3 linked regions of the Danio rerio genome follow. The protein of the gene in region 1 interacts with the protein of each later gene in a pairwise test. Links are inferred from orthologs where the notes say so. Each region holds a gene or a part of one and is shown in the gene's direction. Other genes may lie near its edges.

Region 1 (3,654 bases):
GATTAACTAAATTGGCCTGTGTGTGTGTGTGTTTGTGTGTGTGTGTGTTTGTGTTTGTGTTTTTGTGTGTGTTTGTGTGTTTGTTTCCCAAAACTGGTTTGCAGCTGGTAGGGCATCCGCTGTGTAAAAAATATGCCGGAATAGTTGGCGGTCCATTCCTCTGTGGCGACCCCTAATAAATAAGAGACTACATCGAAGGAAAATAAATCAATGAATGTATTTTAAAAAGCCCTTGGTAATATCGCAAATGTTAATTATTAAAGTATATTATATATATCTACTTAACGCTCTGTTCAAAGCATTTGTTGAGATTAGTGAATGGACTTTTAACCAGAACTCCCTAGCAACCGCATAACAATTCCCTAGCAACTTTCCATCATGTTATTATACTGGATCTTTCTGTGTTGCCTAGCAACAGTGAGGGTCAGACAGAACACATGCGTGTCTTATGTTTGCCCCGGGACAACAGAGCATGTTAGCCTCTGATTCTTCTAGGAATGAAATGTATGTTGTTTCGTCTCTTCTTTGCTTAAAATGTGCACACACTCTCCTACTCTGTCTTGATCTCAATTCCACAATCCTCTGCCTAGAGGATGAATTGAAATGCCTGCTCAGCTTCACTCCAATAGACACATCTGGGTCAGGCAGAGGTTAGCATTGAAAGAATGAAAGAAGAAAGAAAAGATGTGTATTAGCTTATTAAGTCTGTGCATTAGCTCTTAGGGTTAGGGCAGGGGTGGCCAACCCTGTTTCTGGAGAGCCACCTTCCTACTGATTTCAGTTGCTACCCATGTCAAACACACCTGAACCAATTAATTAGGACCTGAACACCACGTGATAATTACAGGCAGGTGTGTTTGATATGGGTAGCGGCTCTCTAGGAACAGGGTTGGCCACCCCTGGGTTAGGGTTATTTGGGGCCCAGATGCATTAATCTGTTAAGCAGCAGCTGATGCTAATGACTGTTTTTGTTGATCAGGGTCCTGGGTGGAGCTGGAGATGAATGGAAACACTCAGCATCAGAGCCCCAGCCTGCCCTCACTGCTGGGGAACGGGAACCAAGGCGAGCCCCAGACTTCACAGGCCCTGGAGGCCGTGCAGGAGGAAGAGGAGGTCCTGACAGGAGGACTAGAGCATGTGCCTTCCTCCTCCTCCATCCATAATGGAGACATGGAGAAAATCCTGCTGGACGCTCAACACGAGTCCAGTCCCAGCAGCTCGTCCTGCAACAGGTACGATACCAGGACACTTTAGATGCATTTACACTGCATGGTTCAGTAGACGCTTTTTATTTTTCTCCCAACACTTCGTTTACACACTCGGCACTATGAAATCATTGCAGTGCAGTTTGCATGCGAGTCTGGAACAGAGATCTTTTTGTTTGATCGGTGCACCTCTCTTCTGTGTGTTTTCAGTCCTCCACGGCCACACAGTCCTGACCAGGACGAGGGTCAGATCATGTTTGATGTGGAGATGCCCAGCGAGAGAGACTGTCAGGTCAGACTGAATCCACAGTAATCTGCAATCACTACTGAATCATCTAAAACTCTGATCATGAGGCTGAATTTCTCATCTATTTCAGTCAGAGGATGACAGTATGGAGAAGGACAAAGAAGACGATATCCTCATGAATAAAGGAGAGAGCTGGGTTGCAGACTGGTCCAGTCGACCAGAGAATGTTCCCCCGAAGTAAGAAAACCTTGTATATCACAGACACCCTTGTTCCTTTTCACCTTAAGCTGGATTTATATGCTTATTTCACACGGCCGCCATTTTAAAGAACCAAAGCGAGGCTGCGGTGGGAAGAAACCCGGAAGTATAAGACTGCAGTGTTTTATCGCTCACCGGGTTACATAAGCTGAAGCAGGAAAGCGTCCTCACGGTGTTTAACTGGTGCCATGAACTGAAGCCCAGGAGGACACTTAAGCGTATCGCTGAGATTGTGATGTTGTTTGATGCTAAGTTGCTTTTAATTGTTTAAAATAAACTTACTAAATAATATTAAAGTGATGTTTACACCATTTCTGCATTTTGAAATCTCGGCAACAGCTGGAGGTTTGTAGTACACAGCATGTTACTGCAATGTTTACAGTGCTGGTCCTATACTTCTGGGTTTCTTCCCACCGCAGCCTCGCTTTGGTTCTTTAAAATGGCGGCCGTGTGAAATAAGCGTATAGTGTTGTCCCGGTACTGAAGTTTTAAACCTGGCTATTTCCCGCTAACATGAAAGCGCTGCTGAGCGCAGATGACTCGACTGATCGTCACGGCTGCTTAGCGTTTCAGTCTCCGTGTATCTGTGTTTGGTTTGCACTCAGTTTACTGCTTCTCACCCCGTGCGAACACAGATACACGGACAGGAGCGCGAAGCAGCCGTCAAGATCAGTCGTCATCAAGCCGATCGCTTGTCTGTGTACTCGGTAAACAGTGGTGGGTGAACTGATGACCTTCTCGGCCAATCACAATCATTTCTGTTGAACACGTGAACACAATGGCAAATCAGCGCTGTTTAAAGAAAGCCATCAACAGTGCCTTAAATATTAGCGGGAAATTAATGTTTTGTCTTTTAATTCAGTATCCTGACAAGTCTAATATAGTGAAAGAATCAGTTTATTAACTCGAGTTTGAAAAATGGCATCTAAAACGTGTGTTTGGGAAAGAAAACGTTAGCTAACTAGTGCCATTTCCCTTAACTTAGCTGAAAATGAGCTCTGATATCTCTTTTTATTTTCACCATTCATTCAGAACGGACTTTCGGGTCACTCGGAAGGCGGTGAAATTATAAATTTGTGTCACTTTCTCTTCGCTGATAAGATATACAGCCAGGTACACAACGTTACTATGTAACTCCCAATGATAATTCCGGGTTTCTTCCCACCGCAGCCGCCATTTCGCTTTTAGAAATGGCGGCCGCGTGAAATCAGTCTTTCGCCTGGCGCCGCATCGCGCAACTCCGCTGACTGCACGCACCTTGCGAAATGCACAAGGCTTTTATACTTGCCGCGTTCGCCATTGTAATATTCTTTTAAATGACAGGGAGCGATCAAACAAAACCGACCGAAGAAATAATAAATTTGACACCCCTACTGGCTCTCACCCTCTACTTAAGCTAAATAGGCAATAATGGTCTAACATTCTTGACCATTATCACCAATAAAGCCTAGAAAAACAGGGCATCCATATAATGTAAACCGATAGGTTCAAATATCCCTTTCTGGTTATCAAAGACATCATTTGTTTCTTTATTTTAGTTTTGTACCTCTTAAATTCAAAATTGTAACATATACAGTTGAAGTCAGAATTATTAGCGCCCCTGTTTATTTTTCCCCCCAATTTCTCTTCTGTTCTGGGAAGATTGTTTTAGCACATTTCTAGGCATAATAGTTTTAAAAACTTATTTCTAATAACTGATTTATTTTATCTTTGTCATGATGACAGTAAATAATATTTGACTAGATATTTTTCAAGACACTTCTATACAGCTTAAAGTGACATTAAAAGGCTTAATTAGGTTAATTAGGTGAACTACGCAGGTTAGGGTAATTAGGCCAGTTATTGTCACGATATGGGGGTGGTGAAGAGGAGGCGAGGACCCAAATGCAGGGAATGAAGAGTTTAATGAAAAATAAAACAAAAACAAAACTCAAATCTCCCCAT
Region 2 (4,451 bases), on another chromosome or scaffold:
CGGAGCATACATGATAGTGATGCGAGGATGGCGGCTATATCCACGGCAGCTTCGAATAATCCAGGGGTCGGGAAGGGTGAGTAATAAAAAATACATTATGATTAATATCGGGTGAGTTGCAGGTGGATGATGAGCAGGACATGGCAGTGGACCAGCGATAAAGCAGAGAGTGGGCTTTGCAGAATGAAAAGATGAGACACCTAAAATAATGGATGAAGTGCAAGAGTAGCCTACTGTTCAAAGTTTCAGTTAGAGGAGTCATCAGAGGAAAATCTGCTTTCGTTCTGGGAGAAACGAGATCGCTTATTTCTACGACTGCAGCACCTTGCAAGGAGATTCTTGTTTATTCCTACAACAAGCGGTGCGAGTGAACGCTCATTCAGTGCAGCTGGCCATGTTTTGGTGGTGAGGCAGAATTGCCCGAATCCAGGCACAGTAGATGCTGTTCTGTTTTGGCACAGTGTGAAGAAAAAGGCCAAGTAAACACAACATACCTGCCATTTAGGCTGAAGTGGCACCCTTTTTGTTATCTTGTTCCTGTATCTGTAAAAGCTGAAATGTCTTATTTTTACTTTCTGTATCTATTTGAAAATGAAGTTAATGTTGTCTAAAGACAAACTTTTGTTTTTATAAATAAATGTTGATTTAAAAACGTTTCAGATAAACATATTACTTTACTATCAGAGATGCGCAGATTAGCTCACTGAATCTGCTGTTAATATCCACGGTGACCTGCCTAAAACAAAAGATTCAATTATTAAAGTGACGATGGGGTGCGGGTCAGGTGCGGATACATATATCAGATAAAACTATTAAGTGCGGTAGGGTGGCAAGTAGATTGTTAGTATGAAGCTGCAGATTCGGGTGTCATTTTAGCTGATCCGCGCATCTCTAATACGCGTGCACTTGACAGAAGTATGATTCAGCCTTTATAGTGAGAGCGGTCTATTAATAATAAAACAAAGACATTTCATTTCTGTCATGCAGCCTATACAAAAATTATGTTACTTTAATTTTATAATATTTGATTTTGTAATGTACAAAGGTAGAATTGCTCTTTAAATGCCATCTGGTTGTCAGATGTAGAAATTCATTTGGCACAAACTGTAATAACAGTGCATTATAGGGATTTTCTAGCTGTAGAGTGTACATGGATTGTAGACTTGTTATTGCGGTGCATTGTGGGATTGATTGAGTGCACCTAATGTCCACTATGATTTCGGCCACCACTATAAATGCCTGCTCTCTTAAATACATGCACTATTTGAGCTTACAGGGTTGATTTTGGATACAGTCTTTACTTCTTCATGTCTAAATTGTACTAATACAGTCTGTTCGTGTAGATGTTGTATGTTAGTAAACGTTTCTAATTCCTAACATTAGGCATGGAACGCCTCTGTGTCTTCCTCTGTCGGTTGTGCGAATTCACTGACGCTACAGATGTTTTCATTATTTCGTTTTCACCTCCTCTCTCTCGTGCCCCCGCAGACAGGGAGAGCGCGCTCGCTCGTGCGCGCGCCTCCTCCTCGGCCTCCTCGTGCGCGTGACGCTCCATTACTGCCACGTAATCTCGGTCGAGCCCCCGCTCACTCACTGAAAACCTCCGGGAACCGTGACAACGACTGCGGAAAACATTCAAACCGTACAGTACGGAACCCCTCCGGGCGGTGCGCGCGGGTGTAGCGGAACACAGACACTGCAGCGGTAAGCGAAAAGTGCGTGGAAGTGAACGAGACGCAGACCACATTAGTGCATTATCACAAGCAACAGGGCGAGCCATGTGTGTGTGAGAGAGACTGTGAAGTGGAACTGGATACTTTTCAAGTCATTTGCATGCAACAGGTCGATGATTTGTTGTCGGTAGGAACTCGTTTTCAATGTAAACACCGTCACGCAACTTTAATGCAGAAAAGAAAGTGCGGCGCTCACGCTGTCATGCGGTAGATTTCTAGCATGTTCCACAATGAAGCGAGTCTGAACGGGACCCTGCTGCCTTTCTAGGGGGTAATTTTAACACTCGTTCAGCTCACATACTGAGAAGTGTAACTTGTTTTGGTCTTCAAAAGAAGTTGAGCACAACACGAGATGTCACACCCACCTGTAGAGCTGATTCATAGTGTGACACCCGTCAGCGCTTATTTACGTTCATGCTATGCTGCATTGTGCTCAGTGGATTTGGCATGTCGTGTAAATTTGCTTATTTCTATTAATGGAGTGAGTTAAGGTAATTTAGGAAGATATTTAATTAATAATCTGTCACCAGAGGCCTACTTGGTGATTAGAGGGCAATTTCAGGTATGGGGCTCTAGCATTGAAACTCAAAGCATCTTCTTTCTCTACACTGTAAACAATTATATGATCAATTAGTCATGACAACATATGTTTTAAGTTCATTGTAACTTATTAAACTAAGTTAATCATGTTCTAACTTAATTTTTTAAGTTATGCAAGCTAATTTAGGTCAGTTTAACATAATATAAGTTTAATGGACTCATGAAGTTATTTTGAATCAGCTTAAAATTTTAAGGCAAACAGTTGTTTTTTACAGCGTATATATATATATATATTTTTCTCGTTTTTTCATATTAAAATACATTTTAAGTGGAACCTTTATAATGTAAAATTTAAAATAAATAAAAGTTATTTACCAATAAAAATCAAGTTCACTAACGATGTACAGTTAATTAGCCCTATTATTCATGGGGGCCTCCAGATTTGAAAAGATGTGATGGCAATAACATCTGAATGGTTACAGACAGATTTTACCACATATGATAGAATATTTATAAGAGCTATATGTTTAATATAGACTTCTTGGCATTAATCGGGACCCTCTAATTTCCTGGGGCCCTAAGCAGCAAGTTTACCTCACTTATAGGTTGAGTACGCCCCTTTCTGTCACATTACAAATATTTGACCTTGGACCACAAAACTAATCTAGTGTTGCAGGGGTATAGACCATTTCTATGTGGTGATATCATTGGCCCATGAACATTTCCATATTGCCATCAAACTATTTTATAACTGTAACAAGAGGTGAATCAATCATAACCTTTAATACAGCTATCATAACATATAATCATGACAACATGTGTTTTAGTTTATTGTAACTTAAGCTAAGTTAATCATGTTCTAACTTATTTTTTAAAGTTACGCAAGCTGTTTTAAGTCAGTTTAACAAAGTTCAATGAGCTCAAAGTTAGTTTAATTCAGCTTAAATTTAAGGCTACACAGTTTAGATTTTATTTTTTTTTTTCATGTTAAAATATATTTTGAGTGGAACTTTTAACTTCGTAATGTAATATTAAATGCAATAAATTCACCAGTAAAAAAGGTTTGAAAACAAATGATGTACAGTTTATTAGCCATATTTGTGATTAGATTTTAATATTTGCATGTGCAGTACAGAAGGAATGTTCCATTATTCATGGGGGCCCCAAATTTGAATAGAAGTATTTGCGGGAAAATCTGAATGGTTACAGACAGATTTTACAACATATGATAGAATATTTATAAACAAGCTATATGATTAATTTCGGCTTCTTAGCATTGATTGGGGCCCTCTATTTCCCAGGGGCCCTTAGCAGCTGCTTACCTCGCTTATTGGTTAAGTCCACCCGTCTATCACATTACAAATATGTGACCTTGGACCACAAAACTAATCTAATGTTGCAGGGCTATATTTTTGGAAACAGCCACAAATACATTGATTAGATCAAACTTATTGATTTTAGTTTTATGCCAAAAGTCATAAGAGTATAAAGTACTGATCATGATTCATCAACATGTTTTGTACATGTTTTACTATAAATATCACAAAATTACACGTTTGATTAGTAATATGCAATGCTCAGAGCTTAATTTATATGCGATTCTCTCATTTTTTTTTAGTTTTACTCATATACCCCAGATTTTCAAATAGTTGTATCTCAGCCAAATATTGTTCAGTCTTAAAATATACATCAATGGGAACTATATTTCGGGGTGTCCGCGGGGTCTTAAGTCTTAAAGTGTCTAAAATCTCAATAACTAAATTTTGGGCCTTAAAAAGTCTTAAATCTACTGAAATGTTGTGTTGTAGGTCTTGCATTTTAACTTTTTGTTTAAAGATTGCATTTTTAACTCTATTACCGTAATGGTTTAATTACTTTTCTTACAGTAACATTTAATACTGACCTGGCCTATATTTTATTATTATTATTATTGTTATTATTACTATTAAATGTATTAAATTATAATACTTTTTTGACAAGTCTTTTCCTTATTCTTAGCATTTAGCCCTGTATACACTGCAAAAAATGCTTTTCTTTCTTAGATTTGTTTTGTCTTGTTTCTAGTACAAATATCTAAAAATTCCTAAATCAAGAAAAAATTTCCAGACAAGCAAAACATATTGTCTTGTTTTGAGAAATAATATGCCAATATTAAGTGAGTTTTTCCTTAAAACAAGT
Region 3 (4,277 bases), on another chromosome or scaffold:
TCCACCATCTCTTCTTCACAGTCTGTAAGAACTGACAAAAAATATGTTAACCATATTGTTCTGTTTATGTAAAATGGGATGGGGGGGGGGGGGGGGGGGGTTGCTGGGCTTAGATGTATCTTTAAACTAATAATCCATGAGTTTTGGGGTGGCGAAGTGACGCAGCGGTTAGAGCTGTTGCTTCACAGCTAAAAGGTTGCTGGTTCGAGTGCCTGCTGGGTCAGTTGGCATTTCTGTGTGGAGTTTGCATGTTCTCCTATGTTCGCGTAGGTTTTCTCTGGGTTTTCCCCACAGGTTCAAAGACATGGGCTATAGATGAATCGGGTAAGCTTAATTGTCCGTAGTGTATGTGTGTGAATAAGTGTGTATGGATGTTTCCCAGGGATAGGTCTGCTGTGGCGACCACTGATTAATAAAGGGACTTAGGTGAAAAGTGAATGAATTAATGAATCCATGAGTTTTTTAAATAGACTGCCCATCTTAGCAAAACATTATTTGAAATATGTTTAATTATATCAATGTATTGGTAGTTAATGCTATCTAAATGTACAAAAAATATAGCCTACATGTTAATGGTTGTTAACAAAATGTGAAATATTATCTACTGCTCTTGCATTCAGCCCACAAATATTGCTGGTGCTGCACAACCAGAGGCTGCAGTTTCAGAATTACATTTCTAGGATCAAATATGGCCTTACCCCACCCCTATGCCTTAACCCAACCACCGCCTACTGGACGGATCAGGAAGAACAATTTCTAAAAATTCTAAGGGTGCTTGAATTGCTGTCCTAGAAATGCGTTTCAGTCTCTCTGGTTTACCAGGAACTATTTTGGCTGCTCTTCTGTGCCCAGCTATTTAGATTTAGAGTTAGCCGAAGCCTGCAGTCACTAGTAGCTACTGCTCTTTTGATTTGAGACACTCTTTAAAAAGTTGCTAAATGAAGCCAAATGAATGTTAAAAATAGCTAAATTTGTTGCTGGGTGCTTTTAGGGAAACAAGCTAGGGTATTATGACAAGTTGCTAAAAAGTTAGCAACCAGGGTTTTACAGGGTTTTGTCAATCAGACTTTCAGTTAAATAGTCTTGACCTAATGTTTCATGTAGCCAAATGTCTATGTGCTAAAAAAAATAAGAATAAGTTAGCAAATCTTACCTTTTGTTTGTTTTGATCAGAATCATGAGGATCTTTCACAGTCACTATAATGCTAAGAAAATAAGGCATATACATCAAGCTACTAAAATTTTCATTGCTATTCGTCAAGTTACTAAATGGGAGCCTGATAAAAATGTGTGATTTTTTTAATACTTCAGTCAAAATTCATTACCTGTGTATGTTTTTGTAGACCACGGTAAATTTCTGCGTTTCTATGTATCGGCCACTAGAGGACGCCGCACGATTCCATCATTCTGCTGCACTCACTGCTCTGCTAGTGTGCGGCGATGGTGGATCCATGACGCCTGCAAACAATTCCTGATTTTGGGCTTCGGCAACTGTGAGTCACTATTTCCCTGTCTGAATCTTTGGTCAAACATTTAATCTTCTGCGGTGGTTACTGTAGTCCGTAGCAACAGCATTTATGTCGTGTTTATAAATGGATAGATTTGTATGTTCATTCTCAATGCATGACTCAACAGTTTTAACAGCATAATTATTTCTCAAATATATCCTTGCTGATCCCAGGCAGTTCCCGTCTCTAGTCCTGAATTAGTCATTTTGGCATGCCTTAAATTATATACAATTTTGTAAAAAAAAAAAAAAAAAGAATAAAATTTGAAGGCTATACTCACAGTATTCTCAATCACATTAAGTATTCTATAAAAATTACATGCATGCCATGCTGCTGCTAATTATTAAATGTTGTTAGTTTTTTATAAAAAATATTCGTTTTTTTACCGCTACAATTACAGTTGAGGTTATAGTATTAAAAAGTAAAATGTAGCTTTTATTTGATATTTTTTTTAGTTTTCATTTTTTAAGTGTGGGCCTATTTGTTCTTTTGTATTTTTTTACTAATTTATTTTTAAGTTTTAGTAGTTTTAGTATTTAAAGTTCATTTAATACATATATTTTATTTAATAAAATATTTTATTGAAGTTTTTTTTATTTTCATTTTTATTAGTTGAAAGTTATTATATTTTATATATGAGCAATAGCAATTTTACACGAGTAGCAGTGTGATATGGCTGTATATCAGCACTGGTGGGAGCCGTGCGTAAACGTGTTTGCATGCTTTAGTGTTCCACTAGTGACAATAAACAGTCATATCGCACTGTTACTCGTGTGATAATGCGTTTATACAACAGTTTGACGGCATTATTGTGTTTAAAAAAGAAAATCAAACAGAGTCTAAAAATTCTTTTGAATGAGGAACTACTTTCTTTTACCATTCATTCACATCTGAAGCTGATGTCAAAACAGCAAAAACCATTGCTACTTCACCAACGTCACTTTAGAGCTAGTATTAGAATGATTCTCTAGAGTAATATCTAAAGTCAGGGGCCTGCAGGATTTTATTCAAAAGAACGCACATATCCAGCACCACCCTGCCCCATCATCCCTTATTCATATTTCAACCTGAAAAGCACTGGTGCTTGCTGTCAAACGCTATAGGCCTATTATTTAAGGGCATTTGTTACGAAACTGATAGGATCAAACTTATGTTTCCTGTTTATATATATATATATATATATATATATATATATATATATATATATATATATATATATATATATATATATATATATATATATATATATAATATATATATATATATATAAATATGTATATGATTTGCTTAAACACTCCCTCAACTGAACTTGCCGCGAGTGAGATTGAGAAAATGAAAGCACGTCCTTGTATCCTAATTTGAATACATTTTTTATTTGTTGGTTATCTACTAGATAAACAACAATAATAAATATTATCTGAGTGCTACAAAACCAGTTCACTATATGCTTCAGCGCCAAAACGCAAACTGATTTGTTAAATAAAATAATAATCTAGCCTAAATAAAATGAAAGTGAAATATTCACCGTTTCAGAGAAACCTATATTAAACTGTTTTCAGTATTATTTACAAAACCATCCATTGTGCCGGTCAATTTTAATTTAATTAGTTTAATCAAGCAGGTGATTTAAATAAGCAGGACAGGTATTTACAAGGCTATTCGCAGCAGCACTGAGGTGTTTCCAGATTGCCTCGGAAGAACAAACTCAGTTGGAAGGGTAAGAGAACTTAGAAACTCGTGAGAATGGGGATGTCTAAAGCCAAAAGATTTCTTTACCCATGTGCCATGCAAATAATATATATATATATATATATATATATATATATATATATATATATATATATATATATATATATATATATATATAGTATTTATATTCGTAGTTTATATTGTAATTACTTCTGTAAAATAAGTTCTTTTTAAATGTCTGGGTTAAAAAATAACATCTTTTATTATATATATCGGTTTTAGTAATTTTTGTACTTTAGCTACTTATTTTATTGCCGTTTTATTTACTATTATTTTATAATTTTTTTTGTACTTTGTATTTTTTTGTTTTAATCTGCCATGTTTACTGTAGTACATATAGCAGTGGCATTTTAGGGATGTTCATAGAGAAAGACAGAACGATTTGTATGTTCATTCCCAATGCATGACTCAACAGTTTTAACAGCATAGCATTTTACTCAAATAAATACAGTGATTTCAGGCTGTACTCATTTGTAGTCTTAAATTAATCACTGGGAATGATTTTAAGTGTTATATTAACAGTTAAATGCCATTACATTTGAAGTAATGTGAAAATGATTTAAACACTGTAATTCGGAGGTGTCACGAAATTCCTTTCTGGTTGGAACCTGTCATGTCTTGTAATTTGACACATACTGTATGTCCTAACATCTCCACCTTTCGACCACCAGTCTAGAGCACAAATCCACCTCATCTGCCTCAGCAAAATTTCCCAAATTCTCCCCAAAAAAATCTGCAGGTTGTTCCCCGAAATCACTGCACACAATGAACTTCTGATCGTGACTCCTGATTGTGACATAATCTGCTTTTAGTTGTCACAGATGTCAGAAATGCCACTCGGGTGGAGAGACATTTGCTCTAGGGAATCACATTGTTATGTGGGAATGCAGTGGTTGTGTGAGGTAATGCGACGAGAGAATGAGAAGAGAAAGTACAGAACTGATAGTGTTACTCGTCTAGCTGTCAGACGTCTCTCTTATACTGTAGGTCTTTGGATGTTCTGGGACTTTTACACTGAGC

What was found.
Region 2: the proteins of bnip3la (region 1) and smco4 interact in binary tests that used the Homo sapiens proteins (3 or more experiments, as listed by UniProt). The two-hybrid records come from large-scale screens. The link is inferred for Danio rerio from reciprocal best matches to the Homo sapiens genes BNIP3L and SMCO4.
Region 3: the proteins of bnip3la (region 1) and lmna interact in a two-hybrid assay, tested with the Homo sapiens proteins (2 studies listed by BioGRID and IntAct). The link is inferred for Danio rerio from reciprocal best matches to the Homo sapiens genes BNIP3L and LMNA.

Annotation. Positions count from the first base shown.
Region 1 is NC_133183.1:6,737,681-6,741,334, reverse strand, and holds part of bnip3la (BCL2 interacting protein 3 like a), read left to right. Parts: intron 1-979; coding exon 980-1,232; intron 1,233-1,415; coding exon 1,416-1,497; intron 1,498-1,582; coding exon 1,583-1,689; intron 1,690-3,654.
Region 2 is NC_133190.1:43,945,315-43,949,765, reverse strand, and holds the start of smco4 (single-pass membrane and coiled-coil domain-containing protein 4), read left to right. Parts: upstream 1-1,517; 5' UTR 1,518-1,704; exon of another isoform or gene 1,705-1,715; intron 1,716-4,451.
Region 3 is NC_133191.1:33,786,999-33,791,275, reverse strand, and holds the start of lmna (lamin), read left to right. Parts: upstream 1-1,418; 5' UTR 1,419-1,493; exon of another isoform or gene 1,494-1,826; intron 1,827-4,277.